2 linked regions of the Macaca fascicularis genome follow. The protein of the gene in region 2 interacts with the protein of the main gene of each other region in a biochemical or structural test. Links are inferred from orthologs where the notes say so. Each region holds a gene or a part of one and is shown on either strand. Other genes may lie near its edges.

The links.
Region 1: the proteins of LEF1 (region 2) and TLE1 form a complex in vitro, tested with the Homo sapiens proteins (2 studies listed by BioGRID and IntAct, with this or other methods). The link is inferred for Macaca fascicularis from reciprocal best matches to the Homo sapiens genes LEF1 and TLE1.

Annotation. Positions count from the first base shown.
Region 1 is NC_088389.1:112,227,117-112,237,215, reverse strand, and holds the end of TLE1 (transducin-like enhancer protein 1), read left to right. Parts: intron 1-1,951; coding exon 1,952-2,199; coding exon of another isoform or gene 2,200-2,203; intron 2,204-5,178; coding exon 5,179-5,326; intron 5,327-7,699; coding exon 7,700-7,850; intron 7,851-8,836; coding exon 8,837-8,913; intron 8,914-9,055; coding exon 9,056-9,163; 3' UTR 9,164-9,679; downstream 9,680-10,099. UniProt on the Homo sapiens protein: Transcriptional corepressor that binds to a number of transcription factors. Inhibits NF-kappa-B-regulated gene expression. Inhibits the transcriptional activation mediated by FOXA2, and by CTNNB1 and TCF family members in Wnt signaling.
Region 2 is NC_088379.1:113,777,050-113,787,688, forward strand, and holds the start of LEF1 (lymphoid enhancer-binding factor 1), read right to left. Parts: upstream 5,896-10,639; 5' UTR 4,727-5,895; coding exon 4,514-4,726; intron 4,040-4,513; exon of another isoform or gene 3,229-4,039; coding exon of another isoform or gene 3,220-3,228; intron 2,088-3,219; coding exon 2,021-2,087; intron 647-2,020; coding exon 513-646; intron 1-512. UniProt on the Homo sapiens protein: Transcription factor that binds DNA in a sequence-specific manner. Participates in the Wnt signaling pathway. Activates transcription of target genes in the presence of CTNNB1 and EP300.

The DNA of each region.
Region 1 (10,099 bases), on a different chromosome or scaffold from region 2:
AAGGGCAATTTCTCCCTGGAGATTCAATAAGGAAATAGCTGTGTGGGCCTGGGTTTTATTCCCATTATGAGGAAATAGAAGCCCCTTCTGTTTCCTGTGTTGGGTATTTAACCCCCTCGGCCCCCCGTTTAAATGCGAAGGTTTCATTTGTTGCTGTTGCACTGGCTAAATCCCAGAGTTGATGGATTTCTTTTTATAAAATATTTTACACTGGTTTACAGAGGCTCTCCTTGTGTATGGATGTACATTACAAAAGGGGGTTTCCCATTTAATGGACAAAAGCACAACTTGGCCTGGACTCTGGTCCCTGCCATCCACTCAGTTTTTAATTTCCCTTTAGCCTTTAGATAAATATAGAATAGTAAATTTTTTTTTTTTTTTTTTGAGACGGAGTCTCGCTCTGTCGCCCAGGCTGGAGTGCAGTGGCCGGATCTCAGCTCACTGCAAGCTCCGCCTCCCGGGTTCACGCCATTCTCCTGCCTCAGCCTCCCGAGTAGCTGGGACTACAGGCGCCCGCCGCCTCGCCCGGCTAATTTTTTGTATTTTTTAGTAGAGACGGGGTTTCACCATGTTAGCCAGGATGGTCTAAATCTCCTGACCTCGTGATCCGCCCGTCTCGGCCTCCCAAAGTGCTGGGATTACAGGCTTGAGCCACCGCGCACGGCCGAATAGTAAATATTTGATAACATGGCATAAAAACCATTCTGAACAGGGTAAGGTCTGTGTTTTTAAGGGAGACCTGAGAGAGCTGGTTAGGTTTTATGACCTTCACTTCAGGAAAGGGTTAAAGGCTGTCACTGCAAAGACCGGGGGCAGCCATCAACAAAATAGAGCGGTGAGAATGCGTTCCCAGAGTTCCTAAGCCATGTCCGCTCAGAGCCTGAGAATACCATTTTGCATTTTTCAGGGACATAAAACATGTTGGGACATGTTCCAGTCTCTAAACCATAACCCCAGGATTTACAGAGCACATACCGCTGGCCTTAAGCAGACTCCGAACTGCCCTGCCCTGCCATGCCCTGGCATGGGGTCTGCCTGTGCTCTGCGGTTGCAGATGGTGCGGTGTACCACTGCCTGCCTGGAAAATTGTAAGGATTCCGGAGAGAGTGTTTCCAGAAAGCTGAGTGGCAGTGTTTTTGAAACACAGACTTGTGTTTAGAGTAGTTATTAGTGCCTTTTTTAAAAAAACAAATAACTTCAAAATGTCTTCATTCATGAAACTTATATTTAAATATGGCCCAACATTCTATAGCAGTGGGAATATCCTTTGTTGAAGTCACGTGTCTAAGGTTTCTTTAATCTTTGAAAGACAGTCCATCGTGAAAAGCACTTAAGCGAACTTTAGCCATATCTGCATCTTTCAGGGGTTGATCATATGAGGGCCCCCCACCCCCACCCCCTTCATATGTGTTGGTTTTGATGGCAAGGTGCCTACTTTTATCAGGTTCTTTGGCCTTTGCATTGAGGGGCTTAGATATAATAGCAGCCACATGACAACTTGAGAAAGCAGCTTTGGTAAGTTATTAGCAAGAATCCCTCTGACTAATGAAGTAATGTGCTCAGCATAACGAAGACCAAAACATAGACGGGGGCCTGCAGTGTCCAAGCAGTAAATGATGCAGGGTGATGAGGCAGATGTATAAACGAGCTTGGAAAAGTGGTTTCTTCTCGGGGAACTGTGTGTACACCTGGACCTCATACCTAGATAGTTTCAGCTCTGTGATGCAGGACACCAGAAACAGTTATCTAAGCTCCTGTGAATTTGTTTTGTTTACTGTTTTGAAGGAGACAGTTGTGCTTGGACCCCAATCTTGACTAGAGATCTCTTGCTCTGTTAGAGTGTCCGTGAAATGTCACTCTTTAACTCAAAAAACCAAGACAGCCATTAGAGAACATGGTGCTATGATTGCTCGGTAATTCATTGTAGCAATGAATTCTGTTTATTTTACAGAACAGAGACAATTATATCCGTTCCTGTAAATTGCTACCTGATGGCTGCACTCTCATAGTGGGAGGGGAAGCCAGTACTTTGTCCATTTGGGACCTGGCAGCTCCGACCCCACGCATCAAGGCGGAGCTGACATCCTCGGCCCCCGCCTGCTACGCCCTGGCCATCAGCCCCGATTCCAAGGTCTGCTTCTCATGCTGCAGCGACGGCAACATCGCTGTGTGGGATCTGCACAACCAGACACTAGTGAGGTGAGCAAAGATGGTCGTCTAAGGAGGGGTTCCCTTCTTGAGCAGCTGGGCCTATTACCTCTGCTTCTCTCTGGCTGCCCGCAGCCTGCACAGTAAGATCCTCTTGAATGCCAGGCATGGGGTTAGATGATGGGGGAACAAAGACAACCGTGTTGCTGCCTTTGGGGGGCTTACAGTCTTGCTACCATGCCTGGGGTCACTGAGACGTTCTATCTCCTTATAGATAGTCTGTATATCCTATAGTCTGTATGTCAGCCCGCATACAGACTCCAAACTTGTTCAAAAAATATTTCTGGCTTTTGCCAAGGGGTGGCCTAATGTGAATTACACGGCAGCACAAAGGGCCCTTGCTACTAGATGTTTTGGGCTTTGGCTAGAACTTGGTGCAGACAAGAGCCAACTGATAAAAGATAACAGAAAATCAACAAGGAGACATGAGAAGAGCAGATTCCATGAATTTCACCCACAAAATGGTTTTAAAGTATCTCAATAATGAAATAGGAGACCTGCCCAGGGGTGGTTCCACTCAGGAGCCCGCAGGGTTTTACCTCGCGTCCTGGCATTGGCCCTGTCCCCTTAGCAGCAGCTGCAGTTCTGGTACCCTTGTGTCTCTCCTCAGCTCCCCCACCAAATGCCCCCTTCAGAAGTCAGTGCTCACACCAGAACTGTTCTCACAAAGTCTTTTTAAAGTAAGCACGAATGAAACATGAAAGGTAAAATGAAGCACGTGTTTTACTCTTGTTTCATCTTCACTGGGAAGCCATCCCTGCGGATGGTGCAGTTTGGGGTCCATGGCTTGTTTGGTAAGTCCCCTCTTGTGCTGCCCAGAGAAGGCACGGGCTCCAGAAATCATCATGACAGCTCACTCTCTTCAGACCTCTGCTGTAGAAATCCATTAAGTGTCATTGAACTGGGCCCGGTCCCTGCGTGTGGGCGACAGTGCGGCAGTTATTTTCCTCTTCCGTTTGCTGAGTAGTGTAGGTGAGCAAAACGGAATAATGGAGCCAGAGCCGAACGCCCTCTCAACCTTTTATCCTAGCAAAGTGACTTGTTTTTTCTTTTTTTAAAACTCCCTAAGTAGGACTTTCAAAATATCAATTCCAAGCACTTTTCAGATATTCCTCCACTTAGTCCTAATGACACTGTCCTGCTATTTGTCCCATTTTATAGATGAAGTGCCTGAGGCTCAGAGAGGGTAAGTTACTGGCTTCAGGTTGCACAGTCGGATGTGGTGGAGTCAAGCTGGGGCCCAGGCATTCTGCTGTCTTCTCTGTGCTGTGATCCCTTGCTCCATGCCGGCTCCTGGGGAGTAAATACCTGTTGGATAGGATGGGGTAGCATCTTACAAATCTTTCTCTGGACCGCCCACAGGTGGCTAGTGGCTGCCGCCTGTAACAGGGCCATGCACAGCCTATTGCATGTCTTTGTATCCATCGTAACCCAGCACATTCTGAACAGTCATAGGATGTGCCTGAGAGTCATGCTGAAGTATATGGATGGAGGGAGGGCAGCGGGATGGGAGGCAGCCGTCAGGTACCATATGTCAGCAGAGGAACGTGTTTTCAGTCAAGGGGGAACAGCGTTTAATGAGTTAGAAAGGTCCAAAGAAGTCAGAGGGTCAAGAGATCACTGGATTTCCAGAGCGGTTTGAAGGGAAGAAAAGCAACACTTTCAGCAAGAGACGCAGCGACTGCTCCAGGCCTGGGTGTTCTGTGGGGATGTCTGGGAAGCGAGCAGAAACACTTGAGGTCCACCTGCACGGCCGCAGTAGAGGAGAGAGGACCAAGCCTGGATCCTAAAGTGCAGAAGTTGGGAATGGCTTGCAGAGAGAAGATGTTTAAAGTGATGGTTCACATCTTGGCTTAGAATTTAGGACAGTAGTGGTGCTTTTTCCTTCCCTTGCACTCTTTAAAATCCAAGCTCAGGTTAAAAGTTTGGAGCTCTATGGGAATGATAAGGTGTGGGGATCCCGGAGGAAGAAGCAGCGTGGAAACTTTCCTCTCGGTGTTGAAATTCTCACGCAGTTCTTTACTGGATCCCGCCTGGTTCCGAGGGTGGGTCTAGACTTTGTTCACCTTTTCTGGCTGCTCCCCCACCAGCTCCCTCTCAGCATGCAGAACTGAGTCCAGGATGGTCGCCATCCCTGCTGGGGCTTACAATGACCTCCCCTCAGCCGCTCTGCTCATTGCCTTGCACAGCATCTGTGCTCAGCAGATCCCTGTTAGCTGATAGTTTCTGGTGGCGATTTTTGAATGAAGCACAAGGTTCTGCTTTAAAGAACAACCTTGTGCTCAGCTTGGAGGCAGAGTCTTTCTGAGGTGCCCATGGCAATTACCTCTGTCTCTGCCCAATGCCTCTGAGGTCAGGAGGCTGGTATGCGTGACCCTTTGTCTCTGGGAGTCCAGATTTCCTAATGCAGGGCTCTTTCTAACAGAAAGCAAGGTTGAGTAAATACATGAGCTCATGCTCTGTTGGCACGTAGAGCATTGCTGTGTTGATCCACTCATGGAAACAGCAATGCTTCTGTCCACTCTGCTTGTAACGTCCCCGTTTCTTTCTCTCATGGATTCAGGCCTGCACGATTAAAGAACAGACCTTTATCTTTCCATAAGGAATACAATTGGGATTTTGTGTGTTTGTCTTTTATTTTCTATTTAACAATTCAACACTTTTCCAGAGCTGGCAAGAATTGTACCTTGCAGATGGATTTGTCAGAGTAGTGTATTTAACTTCTGGGTAGTGACCTGCACTGGCATATTCCATTTCTTTAGCACTTGGATCGTGAAAAAAAAGGAAAAACAATCAGCAGGTGCTGTGTCCCCTCCTCCTCGGGGGAAGGTTAGTTTGATCTTGCACATCAGCAGACACTGGTGGGATGACACACACACATGCACACACAGGGTCCAAAACTAACAACACAACAGTGTTTACCTTGAGCTCTGGCAGGAAATCATTATTCAATCTGGTTTGTTTTATCAGGCAATTCCAGGGCCACACAGACGGAGCCAGCTGTATTGACATTTCTAATGATGGCACCAAGCTCTGGACGGGTGGTTTGGACAACACGGTCAGGTCCTGGGACCTGCGCGAAGGGCGGCAGCTGCAGCAGCACGACTTCACCTCCCAGGTGACTGAGTGACTTCCGCTTGCCCCAGAGTCTGGGAGGTGCTGGGGTGTGTCTTCCTCCTTATACCCTCCCCGCTTACCCTAGGATGTTAGTGGCTGGACAAACAGATCAGGGCCGAATTTGAGATAACTAATTTAAAAACAACGACCACCACCTCCTCCTTCACGACCCTCCCTACTACCTTCCCCAAAACTCCTAGAGTGGTTTTTAGAATCCTGTAGATTAAGGGGTGTTCGCTGTTATATTTATATATGAGTTTGTTTAAGGGATTTGTATGGTGAGGAATATATAGTTTTCCTTCAGCAGTGTTTGATCGGTGGCACGTATTCTCACCATCTAATGTAGGAGTAGGAGATGATTTTTTTGATTCCCAAATAAATAGAGCTTGAGAAATCTGCAGAATGTCACTAGGAGTGGAGAGAAGTCACAGCCCCTCTGAAAGTTCATTTATTTCCCCTGCACCAGAGAGCTTAAAAAAATGCAGAAATACCTCAGTGATATGCATTTTATTCCTCATCCTTTAAAAAATGAACTCGTGGCTGACTAGATTTGCAGACTTTTGAAATAATATATAAATGGCAGCTTTGTAGATTGTGAAAAGTATTTTGATGTCCAGTGTCTGAGTGTAGACTTGTTTTGGAAAAAACAGTGTTTGCCGTTTTAAATGCTTTCTGGTGGTAGAATTGTTGCTTTGATCATGACTTGGCAATTTTTTTTTTTTTTTACCTTGTTTTGTAATAAAAATAATTCTACTCAGAAAACTAGGACAGAAACAGAAAACAAGCATATATACTTCTAAATTTCATATTCTGGTTAACATTTTGTTGAGTTTCTTAGAGTCTTGCTGTTTTACCTCTTTCCTAACATAAGTAGGATACAATTTTTGGTCTGCCTTTTTTGTTTTTTTTTAAACTTCTTAGAGAAATTCTCAAATACATATGAGTACAGCAAATGTCCAAGCAGTTATGAGAGTACAGAGAATTGTACAATAAACGCCACATGCCCATCACTCAGCTTTAAGTTATTTGGCCGTGTGATAACTCTTGTCCCCATCCCCAAACACTGGATTATTTTAAAGTAAATTCCAGACAGCATATCATTTTATCCATAAGCACAGTCATGCACCATATAACCTTTTGGCCAAGGACAGACCTCAAATGTGACAGTGATCCCTTAAGATTATAATACCATATTTTTCTGTACCTTTTCAATGTTTAGATATATCTGAGTGTACAAATACTTCCCATTATGCTACAGTTGCCTACAGTACTCAGTACAGTAGCATGCTGTGCAGGCTTGTAGCCTACGAGTGATAGGCTCCCCCATCTAGGTGTGTGTAAGTGCACTCTGTGAGGTTCACACAATAAAGTAACCTAATGAGGCCAGGCGCAGTGGCTCACGCCTATAATCCCAACACTTTGGGAGGCCGAGGCGGACGGATCACGAGGTCAGGAGATCGAGACCATCCTGGCTAACATGGTGAAACTCTGTCTCTACTAAAAATACAAAAAATTAGCCGGGCGTGGTGGCGGGCGCCTGTAGTCCCAGCAACTCAGGAGGCTGAGGCAGGAGAATGGCGTGAACGTGGGAGGCAGAGCTTGTAGTGAGCCGAGATCTCGTCACTGCACTCCAGTCTGGGTGACAGAGCGAGACTCCGTCTCAAAAAATAAAGAAATTAAAAGACTGGGCGCAGTGGCTCATGCCTGTAATCCCAGCACTCTGGGAGGCAGAGGTAGTTGGATCCAGGGGTCAGGAGTTCGAGACCAGCCTGGCCAATATGGTGAAACCCCGTCTCTACTAAAAATACAAAAATTAGCCAGGCGTGGTGGCTCATGCCTGGAGTCCCAGCTAGTCAGGAGGCTGAGGCAGGAGAATCACTTGAACCCAGGAGGCAGGGGTTGCAGTGAGCTGAGATCGTGCCACTGCACTCTGGCCTGGGCGACAGAGCAAAACTCCATCTCGAAAAAAATAAAAAAATAAAAAAATAAAAATAAATAAAAAACAAAATAAAGTCACCTAACGACACATTTCTCAGAACACATCTGCCTCGATAGGTGATATATGATTGTATTTCAGTTACTGTCTCGAAAAGGTAAGGCCTGCTTTAAAATGTACACATGAATGCCATTATTATTAGGAATCATTTCTTAATTTTATCCCAAAGGACAGAGGGGTTCAAATGTTTCCAGTTTCCTAAAGGTTTTGACACTTGGTTCATCTGCGTTAGATCACTTGCCCTGTGGCCCTCCCCACAGTCTGGACTCGGATGATTACCTCCGCCTATTCTTGCTCTTTCCCCCGCTTTCACATTGCGTCTTCCCTTCCTAAGTGTATCAGGCGGAATCATGAGTGAACCTGTCCTGCTCCTTGCAGATCTTCTCCCTGGGCTACTGCCCCACAGGGGAGTGGCTGGCAGTGGGCATGGAGAGCAGCAACGTGGAGGTGCTGCACGTGAACAAGCCCGACAAGTACCAGTTGCACCTGCACGAGAGCTGCGTGCTGTCCCTGAAATTTGCTTACTGTGGTGAGTTCAGCCGAAAGGAAACTGGCGGTCGTTGATGGCCCAAATGGAAAATGCTTCTTAAAAAAATATGGTAGAGATCATATCTGGAAACAGTGTTGTTCTTTGAGCAGCTGGATGCAATAATTCCATTGTTTTAATATGCCCTTCAGAGCACAGCAATGTCTGTTTCAGTTTGTTTTGCTAATTTGAGAAAAGTCAGCAGGCAATGATGTGATTGCCTAATACAAGGTTTGGACACAGGTTTGTTTCAGTGGGGGTTGGGAGATGACAATGAGTTTCCACTTTGTAGAGGGGTGGGTGGGAATTTACTGAAGAATGGGGCAGGGGCAGTGGAAGTCATGAGCTGTCCGTGATGAAGAATCCAGGGTCAGAGAAGCGGATATTTAGGTGTACCCAGACACTTAGTTACACTCTACAGTGAGGTTGAAGACGGAAGAAGTTCATGTGGAGACCCTTCTTGTGCACTGCAGATGGGCAGATACCTGTTCACAGGATGCAGAGGTGGACGGACGGACGGACGGACGGATGGACGGATGGATGGATGGATGGATGGATGGATGGATGGATGGATGAATGCCTATCACTTATTGAGCATTTTTCTTCGTGCTATATGATGTGACTGGCATTTTACTTAAGTTAGATGTTTAATCCTGTCTAGTCCCATTTTATCATGGGAAGACTGACTAAAATAGAAGACATTCTTCATTGATTCTATATTTGAGGGTTACCGTGTGTTGGATATGATGCTACTAGTCCTGTATCCAGTGACTAAGGAGGCTGACACCTCTTAGATTATACCCAAGATCACACTGATAAATCACTGAGGAGCCCAGATTTAAAACCACTGTTCATGTCACGGACCAGTCCCTTAGGGCATGATAGTTCATACATTAAAAATGTTCTTAGTTTGATTCAGTCCCAGTTGCTAATTGTATAAGTAGGAATTTTAACCTTGTGAAAACGAGATATTCCTTTGCTAATTCTAGGTAAATGGTTTGTAAGTACTGGAAAAGATAACCTCCTCAATGCTTGGCGGACCCCCTATGGAGCCAGCATATTCCAGGTGAGTAAGTGCTCCTCACCTAGATCCACAATTTCACCACAGTGTTGCCTTTGAAACCAGGAGTGAAGGCGCCTCAGAGGGAGCGGGGCCTCTGAGTACCGTTGTTCCACATTAAACACGTGTTCATTGTTTTCTCTTCCAGTCCAAAGAGTCCTCGTCAGTGCTTAGCTGTGACATCTCTGTGGATGATAAGTACATAGTCACTGGCTCAGGGGACAAGAAGGCTACAGTCTATGAAGTCATCTACTGAAAACATGATGTGGTTTAACGTTGATAGTTGAATTGGGCCAAAATGTTTCGAATTTGTAGAAATAGAAAAGTTGTAACTTTAAAAGAGAAAAAAACATACAAACACCTGTTTCCAAACCTTGACACGAAACTACTTTGAGTCTACAAAGAGGAGGCGACAAGTCCATCAGCAGAAAGTCACCTGTCTACATAGACCAAATGGAGCACCAAGGCCAAGCAGACAGAGGGGCCATGGGTTGTGGGATTGAGGAACGGAATCGGCCGACTCACGTGACAGCCCATTCTTTCTTTCTGGGTGATCTGGGGATCACGCCTTGCCCAAGTGTGAGATTACCTTTCCTATTCCTTGCAGTTCACCTCACTTTCTGTCGTTTGTAGAGCAGTGGTGTCTCCAATGAACTTGTTTCCTGGTTTTGCATCTTGTGAAATGTTTTTTTGTATTTTTGTTGAAGGTTAAACATTTGTATAAATTGTAAATATATTTGGTTTATTACAGTAAAGGCTTTAGTACCAATAAGTGGTTTTCCTTTTCTTTCTTTATTGTTTTTTATTACAGCTTTGGGATCATCAATGTGGGTTTTGTAAGCAAAGATTATACATTTGTAGAGGAAGTTTTGAATTGCACTGCTTATTTTATAAATATATTTGGTGGTAGGCTCCCGTTGCATTAGAACCTAATCCTTCACAAGCCTGAGTTGCTGGGAGCTCAAGACTAGGAATTGTGAGTCATTGAAGGTTTACTAATGACAGTTTTCTTTAGGAAGGTAAAATTACTTCATCAAGATTTGTTCTTTTGTTATGATACTGTTGTGATTCAAGGTCACAAATTAAAACTCCGCTTTTTTCTGGTGATTCATTGGAAGGCAAAATATTCCTTTTTCTAGGAAGGCCCAATCTTTTCTTTCTTTTCCCTTTCTCTTTCCCTTTCTCTTTTTCT
Region 2 (10,639 bases):
AAAAATAACTCATCCTCACCAAACCGATCCTAAGGAAACATTGACTGATACAACAAAATAAGACACTGTTTTAAAAGCCAAAGTAACATAACAAACATTCAGCTCCAAATGAGCTAAAGTAGTTCAGGTTCTAGAAAGCTTGTGGGCATTAAAAGCTATACAGTCCTTATTTAGGTGAAAAAATAAATCAGTTTCTTTTTCCTCTTATCACCATAGAGAGTACAACACTCACAAAATCATGGATTTGTTGATGTAACTTCACTTGATTTTATAACTTATGATCTGTTACATATTTATTTTAATCGATAAGCCAAAAGCTAAAATTCCAAAGGCAAGACATCAAAGGTAGCACTATTTTAAGGTGGCCATTCCTCACAACAGCTCTTATTTAGCAATGACTAGTTATATATAATGAAAGCATTTCCAATGAGTTTGGAAAAATAAACATTCTGCCAAAATACGAATCAATTTGCACTTCTGAACATAATTTGCAACATCAGCATGTTACTTACTGTTCTCGGGATGGGTGGAGAAAGAGATCCATTTGACATGTATGGGTCGTTATTCATATTTGGCATCATTATGTACCCGGAATAACTCGAGTAGGAGGGTCCCTTGTTGTAGAGGCCTCCATCTGGATGCTTTCCTGGGAGGATCCAAAGAACAATCAATGATGACTTTCCTTTTATATTACTGTATTTTTCATCTCAAAATCTAATCGTTCTAAGATAAATCAGACCTTATATAAAAGATTTGTTTACAAAATACTGTAACTGGATTATTATGCTCTATTTTAGATTGACAGTATTTATTCTCTTAAATAGCTTAGCAGCAAACCAGATGTTTTAAAAACATGTGGTTCAAACAGTTCTTCCACTATTAACTGATGTTTTTACAAAACTAAGTGTTATCCATCTAACTTAATTTGTTCTAACACTAACAAACTGGACTAAAAAATACAGAACACACACAAATCTAAAACTGTAATATAAATATATTAAGCCATCTAGCTACACACACATACAGATTTATACACGTGAAGTTATGTTTTGCCTTGCAGACAAACTCAAAAATTCTACCTGTGCTTGTAGATTTCCAGAAAAATTCTAGATTCTACTGCAAGAGTTGTTATCTAGTATATAGGCAACTATCCAAATTTATAAAGGATTAACTCTGGGAGGTTTAATTTCACGTGCTACACTTAGATCATTTTGCCAAAAAATTTCTGTTCAATATGTATATTTCTTCTTGTTAATCTGTGTAACTATTTTGTAGCTGAGGAAGAAGCCTAATATATAACTCTCTTCCCTGCTCCTGGTTAACATCTTGTATGTAAAAACACTTCATTTCAGTTAGGCCAATTGTTAAGTAATTAATGGAGAACAGACAGGCTGACAAGGAAACCCTAAGGTGACTTCATTCTTTTAAAGTCACAAGGAATTCTCCTTAAGTCTAAATACATATGTATGTAATTTTAAAGCTTTTAGTAAGAATCAGAAATACGGAGAAAGTGTATCATCTCTGATATGCACATTCCTAATTATAAGTTTTATGTTTTTACAAGTTAGATTCTGCTCTGCTCATTTACTGAGCGCCTTTTCACTGTAATAAGGAACAAGAAACAGCAATTTTGCAAGTGAAAATCCACTCAAAACTATTCTGGTTGGAAAACAAATCAATATATACTGTCATTCTTCTTAATAATATATTAAAAATACTAAAGATCTAAGCTAATTAGAACTTAAAGTAAGATGAGGAAGAGAAAAACTCATTATAGACATTCCCTCTTCCCCAAAGAATCTGGAACCCACTTGAAATCCAAAGGTCCCTAACTCATTCAAAAACACTTTTTAAATTACGTAACATACATTAGAGGTAAGCCATAAGTTTCCTGCGTTTTCTTTACCATTTTATTAAAATAGTGGGCATAGTCTGACCTAGTCCCAGTTTCTTGAATTCAAAAATAACAAATTGCACACCTTATCTGCTAAAGTCAGAAGAAGTAGAATGGGTGTCTTACCGTCATCGGGGTGTTCTCTGGCCTTGTCGTGGTAGGGCTCCTGAGAGGTTTGTGCTTGTCTGGCCACCTAACATCATGAATCCCCACACCCAAAAGAAAGAAAATCACCTTAGAGTTTGTGACAATAATGATACAATTGTGTGTGCACTGGTAATTCAAAGGAAGGTTTTTAGGGGCAACTCTGTTTTATTACTCTGAGAAACAGACATAAGTTAGTGTTTAGTACTGCAAAATCTTTTTCTTGTCAACATGTATTTTTGAGTGATTATTATCCACCCGAGAGCAAAAACATATAAATAATAACACCAATAAAAATACAGTTAAATTTGGGAATGATCCACATGCTGTTCTGACTGCTGTTTATTAAGCCATATCAAGGCTCCCTGGATGACTACTATTAAAGGAGTAGGAGTTAATGGGGTTGATGGTTTTGATAGCCTCTTCAACCACTGTTCACTTCAATCAGATCTGATAAAAAGAAGGCTGAAATATCATTTTGCAACTGAAAATGACATTTAAACATAAACAAGCCAACCACTCAGATGAGTCCTTAAGGCAAGTGCCCTGAGCGCAGTTTCAGTAGAAGCTCCACTCGAGCTTATAACCTACTATGGCTGGCTGAGCGCAGGCTTACAAAAGTAGAACGATTCTGTGGTTAAAGGGAGGAAAATTAGAGAGTCAGGTTATAGACATCTAAAAAGTAGCCCAGTTGATATCAGTTTTGGTAATCACCATCCACCCAGACAGACTCAACCACGTGCAAATCAGTGGTATTACTCCTTCACCCTCAGGCCTCATGCCCACTTAACACCCAGCGAAGAGTAACGCTTTAACACCCGAGTGCTCGGATTCGAACGCAGGGTCCTTCACCCAGACCAGAAAAGTGGGGAGAATATGAAGTGGGTGGCAAAATTATCTACGGACTAAGACAGGACTAGCAAAATGGGTAGAAAAAGAGGCTGCTCTACAAATAGGAGAGTTTGGCAAAAAGCCTGTGTTTTGGATGTTGTTTGGTTCTCGGAACGTGTGTCCTCCCTTTGACCTCCTTTTCCTAGCACAGACAATAGTCACAAATCTTTTACGCGGGGTTAGGTGCACCCTACTCCCGCCCCCATCCCGCTCAAACTGGATTCAACGGGTAAAGAACACCCTTCTGTTCTCTGAACGCAGGCCCCCAGCCTTTCAAAATGCGTACTCACCTCTGCCATTGGGATAGAGAAGGCAGATCTGAGATGTTCTTAAACGCGCTGTTTAAAACCCAAAATGTCCCCGCCCTCAAAACCACACACTTTCTTTTTGGGGGTAGAAAGATGCCATTTAAGGGAAAAAAAAAGGTATATCCTTCAAGTTTCTTTGGAGGGAAAAGGCGTTGGTTAAATCATTCGGGTGTCAGGACTTTTCTACCGGATTTCCTCCAGAGAAAGGTTTCCCAGTTGTGGAACAAGAGTGACCAGTGGAGTGTCGGGTATCAGGGTCCATCCGCCCCCTACCAGCTCTGGACTAGGCTTCAAACAGCCCTCCAGCGCGGCCCCGCTCCGCGCTTTCTCCAGCCAGCACCCACGTGTCTCTATTTACTCTACTCAGGTTACCAGCTCTATTGCCCGCAGCGGACCAGAAGACCCGATAAAGCGCCTTCCGCCCTGCCGGACTAGTGTCCGGCTTCCGCCGCTTCTCCGCCTTTCTTTTACATAGATTTAAGGCCTGATCCGGTCCCAAACCCCAAATAAAAGTTGTGGGTTTGTTTCCAAGTGATGGCGGTTGGAGAAAACTAGAGTTGGGGGCGGTACAGCTTGGGGTGGCTCGGCTCGGCGCACCCACAGCTCCCAGCTGCCAGCCCAGGCTCTGGGGCCGCAGGGACTGAACCCCGCACCGCCCCCGCAGCCCGGGCGCGCGCCCCCTAGGCCGGCCGGCTCCCTGCGGCCGGTCTCGGCGGTGGTAGGGACGGCCCCGCCTGCCCCAGCCCACGCCCGCCTCCCCTTCCTCCTGCCTGTGGCTCTGCTCGTCTCCACCTAAGCCTCTGGTGGTTTAACGCACTTTTGCAGAGACATCTACCAAAAGATAGCGGGTGCACTTTGTTTTCCGTCCCACGGAAGAATTTCTCAGTAGCGTTATTCAGCCATACTCGCTTTAAAGCCTGGCACTCCTCAGCCCAACAAAAAGACCGAAGACGAAACATTGTGGGTTAAGGGCACGTTTTCCTGCCCACGAACCAACCGTTCAGCCACCGAACCCCCTAAACTGATCCAGTTGGAATAAGTTTCCCTGCCCCTCTACCTCCCATTCTACACACACACACACACACACACACACACACACACACACACACACACACATATATGCAATGCGGACCGGGGCCCCAGCTACGCACACACCCCAAAACAAACGAGGGATCTACTCGGGACCCTCGGCCGGGCGCCTTCCCTCCCTTCCTCCCTCTCTGCGTTTCCCAGGGACCCGCCACGCCTCTCGGAACTGGGGCAGCGGCCCGCTCACCTCGTGTCCGTTGCTGGCTGGGATGATTTCAGACTCGTTCACCAAGGAGGACTTGATGTCAGCTAAATCGCCTTCCTCTTCAGGGTGACTGATCTCGGCGAAGATCTTTTCCTTCTGAGGATCGCCCTCGTCCTTGAAGGGGATCATCTCGTCAGTGGCGCAGAGTTCCGGGTCCCCCCCGCCGCCGCCACCTCCTCCGGAGAGTTGGGGCATCCCGGCGGCTCTGTAATCTCCGCTCCGCTGTGGGAGCACCCGCGGCAACAGCAGGAAAGACAGAGGGGTAACTCAAGGGTGGGGGAGGAAAGGAGAGTTGGAAGGGTTCGTACAGGAGGACAGCAGGCGGAAGCGGGGCGGGTGAGCGCGGGGCCGCCGGCCGGCAGCCGGAGCAGCTGCCGCGGCGCCCGAATCCCGGCGGCCGCCGCGCTTTCCCGCTTCGCGGAGACCGACGCCGGCGCCCGCCCCCGAGGCCGAAGGGCACTGGGCGGCGAGGGCCGCGGTAGCTGGCGCCTCCGGGGGCGTCTGCGCGGCGCGCGCTAGGCTAGGCTGCCCCGGCGGCCACCCCACGCCCCCCGCGTCGCCGGGATTTGCGCGCGGAGGACGCCGGTTCTGGAGGGAGCACCACTCTCCAAAGTGCAGAGGAGGGTCCGGCGGCGCGTCTCCGCGGACACCCTCTCCACTGTAGTTACCCCGGATGCCGACTTAGTAGTTTGTTTGCCGAGAAAAGAGAGGGGGTCTGGGCAAAAAGCCCCCGTTTGCCCCAGCAAAGAAGGTGCAAGGATCAGAAGATAACGAAACGTCCACTTCCTGAAGGGTGGGAAAAAAGAAAAAGAAAAAAGAGCCACCCACGCTGGAGATGTCCGTTTTAGAGCTTCTTATTTTCTTCCCTTTCGCTTCGGTTTTCCTTCTCGAGGCTCATTTAATCTGCTAGAGAAGGAGGAGGAGGAGAAGGTGGGGGCCGAGGAGGCGGGGAAGAGAAAGAGAAGTTTGCCAAGAATAAAGTTTTTGCCGGCAAGCGCGGGGACTCCGCAGTGGAGGGCACGGCGGAGTCTCGGGTAGTCACAGCGGGGACCTCGGGCCCAAATGCTTCTGCCCGGAGCTCGAGCCGACACACACACTCAGCCCGACCCCTCTTTGTTCCCGGCTCGAATTTCTCAGCTTGGCTAGCCGGCTCGCGGATCTGCACGCCTCCGTCGGCCAGCTCTGTCAAAGCAAAGAGCTGCGCCCCTTGGGTTCGCCCAGCCGAGGGGAGGGGACACCCCGAGCTTGGCCGCGTGCGAGGCTCCGGGCGCGTCCTGGTTCTTCGGCCCGAGAGCGCGCAGCCCGGGTCCCTCCTCCGCGCCCTGCCCCGCAGGTGAGCTGCTGCGCCTCCCCACTGCTTCTCCTCCTCCCGCGCCTAGCCGGCGCTGAAAAGCTACCCACTTGCGTCGCTTCTCCTCCCTCTCCCCTCCCCCGCCTCCAGCTCTCCTTGGCTGCCCGCTGGAGGGGAGGCGGGGGGTGAGGGGGAGTCGGCGAGAAGGAGGTGGTGATTGAGGGCTTTTTTTTCTTTTTCTTTTCCCAGATCCTGTAGGACGAGTATTGGTTTTGGGGTGTGTGAGTGTGTGTGTGCGCGCGCGCCTGGAGGGAAGGATCAGGCAACTTGGCGAGAGAAGGAATGACCCGGCGCTGCTTATAACCCACCGAGAGGCACGCTTTGCCCGCGTGAAATTGACAAGAAACATTGCCGCAATGGCTTGACTTCATCATCTAAGTATCTATTTTCTTGGCCCCCACCCACCCACTCCTTTTCCTCTGCCAGTCTCTCCCCTACCTCCTTGACGCCTCCCACTCTCCCTCCCTCGCTCTGGCCGGGGGAGGAAGATGAAAGAGAAAGCCGCCGCCGCTGTGATCGACACCACATTGATAGATGCTCTGACAGTGGGGAGAGGCGGGAATCTGGGACTGAGAAAAGAAGGAAAAGGGAAAAATATAACAGACATTGCTCAACTATTAAGAGAGAACAGAAGGACAAGGAAAAGAGAGTTGTGGCTTTCCCGAATATAATATCATACACACGCTCTTTGGAAACAAGGGAACACGCTAGTGAAAATAAAATCTCCAGGCTTACCGAGAAAAAATATGACGAGGAAGAAGGAACTGAAGACTAGATTTTAATTATTGCTTTTTAAACAATATCTCTTTCATTCTGTCCTCACCACGGGATGTACGGAGAGTTGTGCTAGGTCTCTCGTGGGTTTTCAAAGACACACACCGCAGTGTGTGGGAACCTCATCGAGAATGAAAAGATAATCCAAGAAGGGGGAAGAGAAGGCAAAAGGACTCGGGAGAGCAAAGCCAAAAGAGGGAGGGAGGACGGGGTAGTCCCTGGCACCTTGGACTGCGAGCTGAAAGGAACCCTTGAAGATGCAAATCCGAATACAACCTCAAAAATTCCCCAGTCTCCACTATGTCTTTGATGCATTTTGTACAAAGACAGGAGTTTTCAGGAGATACTTTGTGAAAGTTACAGCAGAAGGGAAGCTGAAGTTTGAAAACACATTACATTTTGTCCCTTGGTTCTCAAACCCCCTCTGTTAAAAATCTAGGCAAAATTATTATATCCAATACAGTAGCCATCTGTAAAACTTCAGAACAGTAAACAAAGGACATAAAGAAATGTATCTTCATCTCCCTTAAATTGAAAATAAGGAAAACACTACAGAATCAGATTTTGCTCTGTTATATAGGAATGGTCTAGCAAAGATTCCTCTTATTTTCCTAAAGGTGAAATTTCAGGCTGCTGAATATTGAATGGGTAAAGATTTTAACAATGCTGTATCTAAGTGAGCACTTAAAACTTCACCTACTAATAACTACTACTTCTTGGGAATGAGAATTTACTAGGAAGCAATTTTTAAAACTTTACGAAGGATCCAGTTGGTCCCTAGAATATGGCCAGTAGTCACATGTAAATTCTATCTGGGAGATTGGATTAAAATTAAGGGGTTGGTGAAGGAATCCACGAAAAGTAAAACATTAAATCCACTTTTAATAGCTGACAATGCTATGCCTCAAGAGAAGAAAAGGAGTATATTCTGCTACAGTGTGTGAGAAACCCAATTTTTGTTTTTGGATGATGGTGGTATGTCACTTCCCTTAAAGTTATGCACCAGTGTGAGTGTCCCAGAGAGGTGAATATATAGCTGTGTCAGACATTTATAGCCCCATTCTTAAAAGACATATGGGAAAATAAAGTCAAAAGTCCTCCCATAACTGCACCAATTTGACCAATAGGAAAACAACTAGAAAATGCAGTTTCACCAAAGCAGAGTTAGAGGTTCCTTTTCATCAAACCCTCAGGAGGGGGAGGGAGGAATACAGAAATGGCTAGGGGGTAGTTTCTGGAAGCCAAAGAGAGATTAAATGATGACTCTTACATTCCCCCCGCTGTTGAAGTGCTGAAACTAATTCAGATGCCACTTTCTCCTTCATGTTAACTCTCTGGATTCCCCGAGCCATTTGGAGCCTATGCTCCAGGTTTCCTGAAGGGTAGAAGCTCAAGAAGATGCGAATTTTTAGAACAATAGTGGAAACTGTTTACTTGAAGGGCCAAGGGTAGGTGGCTGCGTTTGGTATTTTACTGTGACCCTGTCCATTGAAAACATTGTTTCTAACGAAATAACCCAGCACCTTGCTCTATTTGCGTGACTGTTTTCCTTACAGTGGTGTAACTGGTGTTAGCTGATTGTCTTTAGGATTGTTGTAAATCTTCTGATGAGCAGCACTTAGAAGGGGCTTTAGTAAAATCCATGCGCCCCAAATTTGTGAAGCTTCGTTTGGGAGAGAGGTTGACACTTCCACGTGAAGTCTTTCTTTTGGAAAAAGCAGGAGGACGCAGGACGGGCGAAGTAACCCGGGGAAGACGTTCTTCCCCCTCCCTTACGGATTCAGTGTAGTTTCTGGCATAGGCAATTCTGTCACCGGGCGGTCTTGTCTAATTCGTGTGGGGGCTGGTATTAACATAAGCAGCCGCCTCTTCGGGTGCGAGTGGGATCCCAGGTCCGGGATGTGGTGGGTGCGGTGCGGGAGAGGCACCCGCCGCCCGCCGCCCCCTTCACTCGGATGTTAGAGGCAAGTTGTTGGTGTGAACTCGAGCGAACGACTGGAGGAGGTTGGCTGTTGTAGGTTCACTCCTTCAGGATGTGGGTTTCAGGGGGCGTTTTGATGTGATTTAATTCCGACCGTGAAAACAATTGCTAGGGGCTGGCTGGATTGCTGCTGGTTTTTCCCCTCCTGGTGGCTTTGCTTGGTTTGGGTTTAGTTTGGGAGCAAACTTGTTTTATATCAACACTTCCTTCTACATCGGGCGCCGTCGCCTCAACTGTGCGTGGGGGGCGAGGCGCCCACCCCGCACAAGAACAGAGGAGCCGGGGAGAAGAGACGGCCTCGCTGCCCAAGGGGTAAGCGGAGCCCAGTCAAGCTCGGGAGCAGGCAGCAGAGCCAGAGGAGTGACCCCCACTCACACCAGAAAACCCCTCCCCCCCGGCGATTTTGTTGCCAACTCGAGTCGGCTACAGACAGTCCAGTGAGTCCTTAATTACAAGGACGAGAGAAAAGCACGGTGCCCCTCGAGTCCTCTCCGCCCCCTCGGTCCTAACCCCCGCCCAGGCTCCAGGTCTTCCCCTTTGTGTGGCCTGGACTCTCTCCCAGCTACAACTTTGGTGGGATCCCAAAGGAAGGAGGTGGCGGGGCCTACGGAAGAGGATACTCAGGAGCCGAGGAGAAGGGCTAGAAAACGAATAATGTGACTCCAGAGGCGGAACTCCGACCCCCTCGAATTCCCACCCAGTCTTCGCCTGGAGACGAAAGCTGTGGGGCATCTTCAGTTTAACGGACCTCGCAGAAAAGGAGAGAAGGGGGGCGAGGGAAATGGCAGTTTGTGTCCCAAGGGTTCTTCCGCTTCTTCTTGCCGCCTCCTAAAGACAAACAAACTCAACCCCCCACCCTCCGGGGTATCTGGGAACTCGTGGGACCGTGAAAAAGTCGTTCCCAAATCCGGCCGCCTGCGGACGTCGGGCTTCCGCGGGGCCGGCGCCCGTTGGCGTCTGCAGCTCGGCGCAGCCTCGCGGGGCTCGAGCGAGCGGGGTCCGCCACCCCTCCCGCCCTCCTGCGGCTTTCCCCGCGCTGGGCCAGTGCAGGCCGAGCCCCGCGTCCCTGCCTCGCTGGGTGGGGGTCCCGGGCGCGGCTGTCCAGAGGGCCGCCTCCTCCCGCGGCCCGCGGGCAAGGGGCGCAACCCACCCCGCTCTGCAGGCCGCCCCTCTGCCAGCTGGGAGGCGAGGGTACACGTCCTAAGGCTGCCCAAGAGGGCGAGGAATCGCGCCGGTAGGAGAGCGCACGGGAACCAGCAACGCAAGGCAGGCACAGGGGAGCCGAACGAGCCAGACAGGGCCCGGCCACGCGCCCTCGTCGCTGGGCTGCTCTCCGCGACGGGAACCCGGGCTCCCACGCATGGGGAATGCCTAGAATGGAGCAGGAATGGAGGTGGGAGCTGGAGTCATTTTGCGGGCCACAGGACTGCTCATTTCGTGGGCAGGACGTGACATTCTTGTCCCTCCTTTCTGAAAAACTTTTCTCAGGCGCCTGAACTTGGCACGGGGACCGGCCTCGGAAGGCCGGCGGGTAGCACGGCCGCGGCGTCCAGCCCTGGGCCCTCCTCGCCCAGTCCCTCCTTGTCCCTCGGCCCGCCCCCCGGGTCGGGGACGCGCGCGGAAAGGCCGCCCGCGCGCGCGAGTCGCGCCTTATATCGGCTGAGGGCGGCGCCTGCGCAGGGCCCGGCGCGGCGGCGCGGCCTTTGAAGTCGCGGCGGCTGCCGCTTTCATCCTTTCTTTTTTCCCTCGCAGGCCCCTTTGTGTGACTAAATTTGGCAAGAATATGGATCCGAGCCAGTCTTTCCACGTGTGCTCCCAGCTCCCAGCTGAGAAGGCCAAGGGTTCTCTTCCGGGTAAGGAGACAGGGAGAAAGATCAAAGAGTTTGGGGAGCTGGATCTGAAATGTGAATTGAAAATAAAAATCAAGCCTGGACACATTCCAGTTTCTAAAGCAAAACCAACCCTCAGCAGAGGCCGGCTCTCTATATAGCTCTCTTTCTTT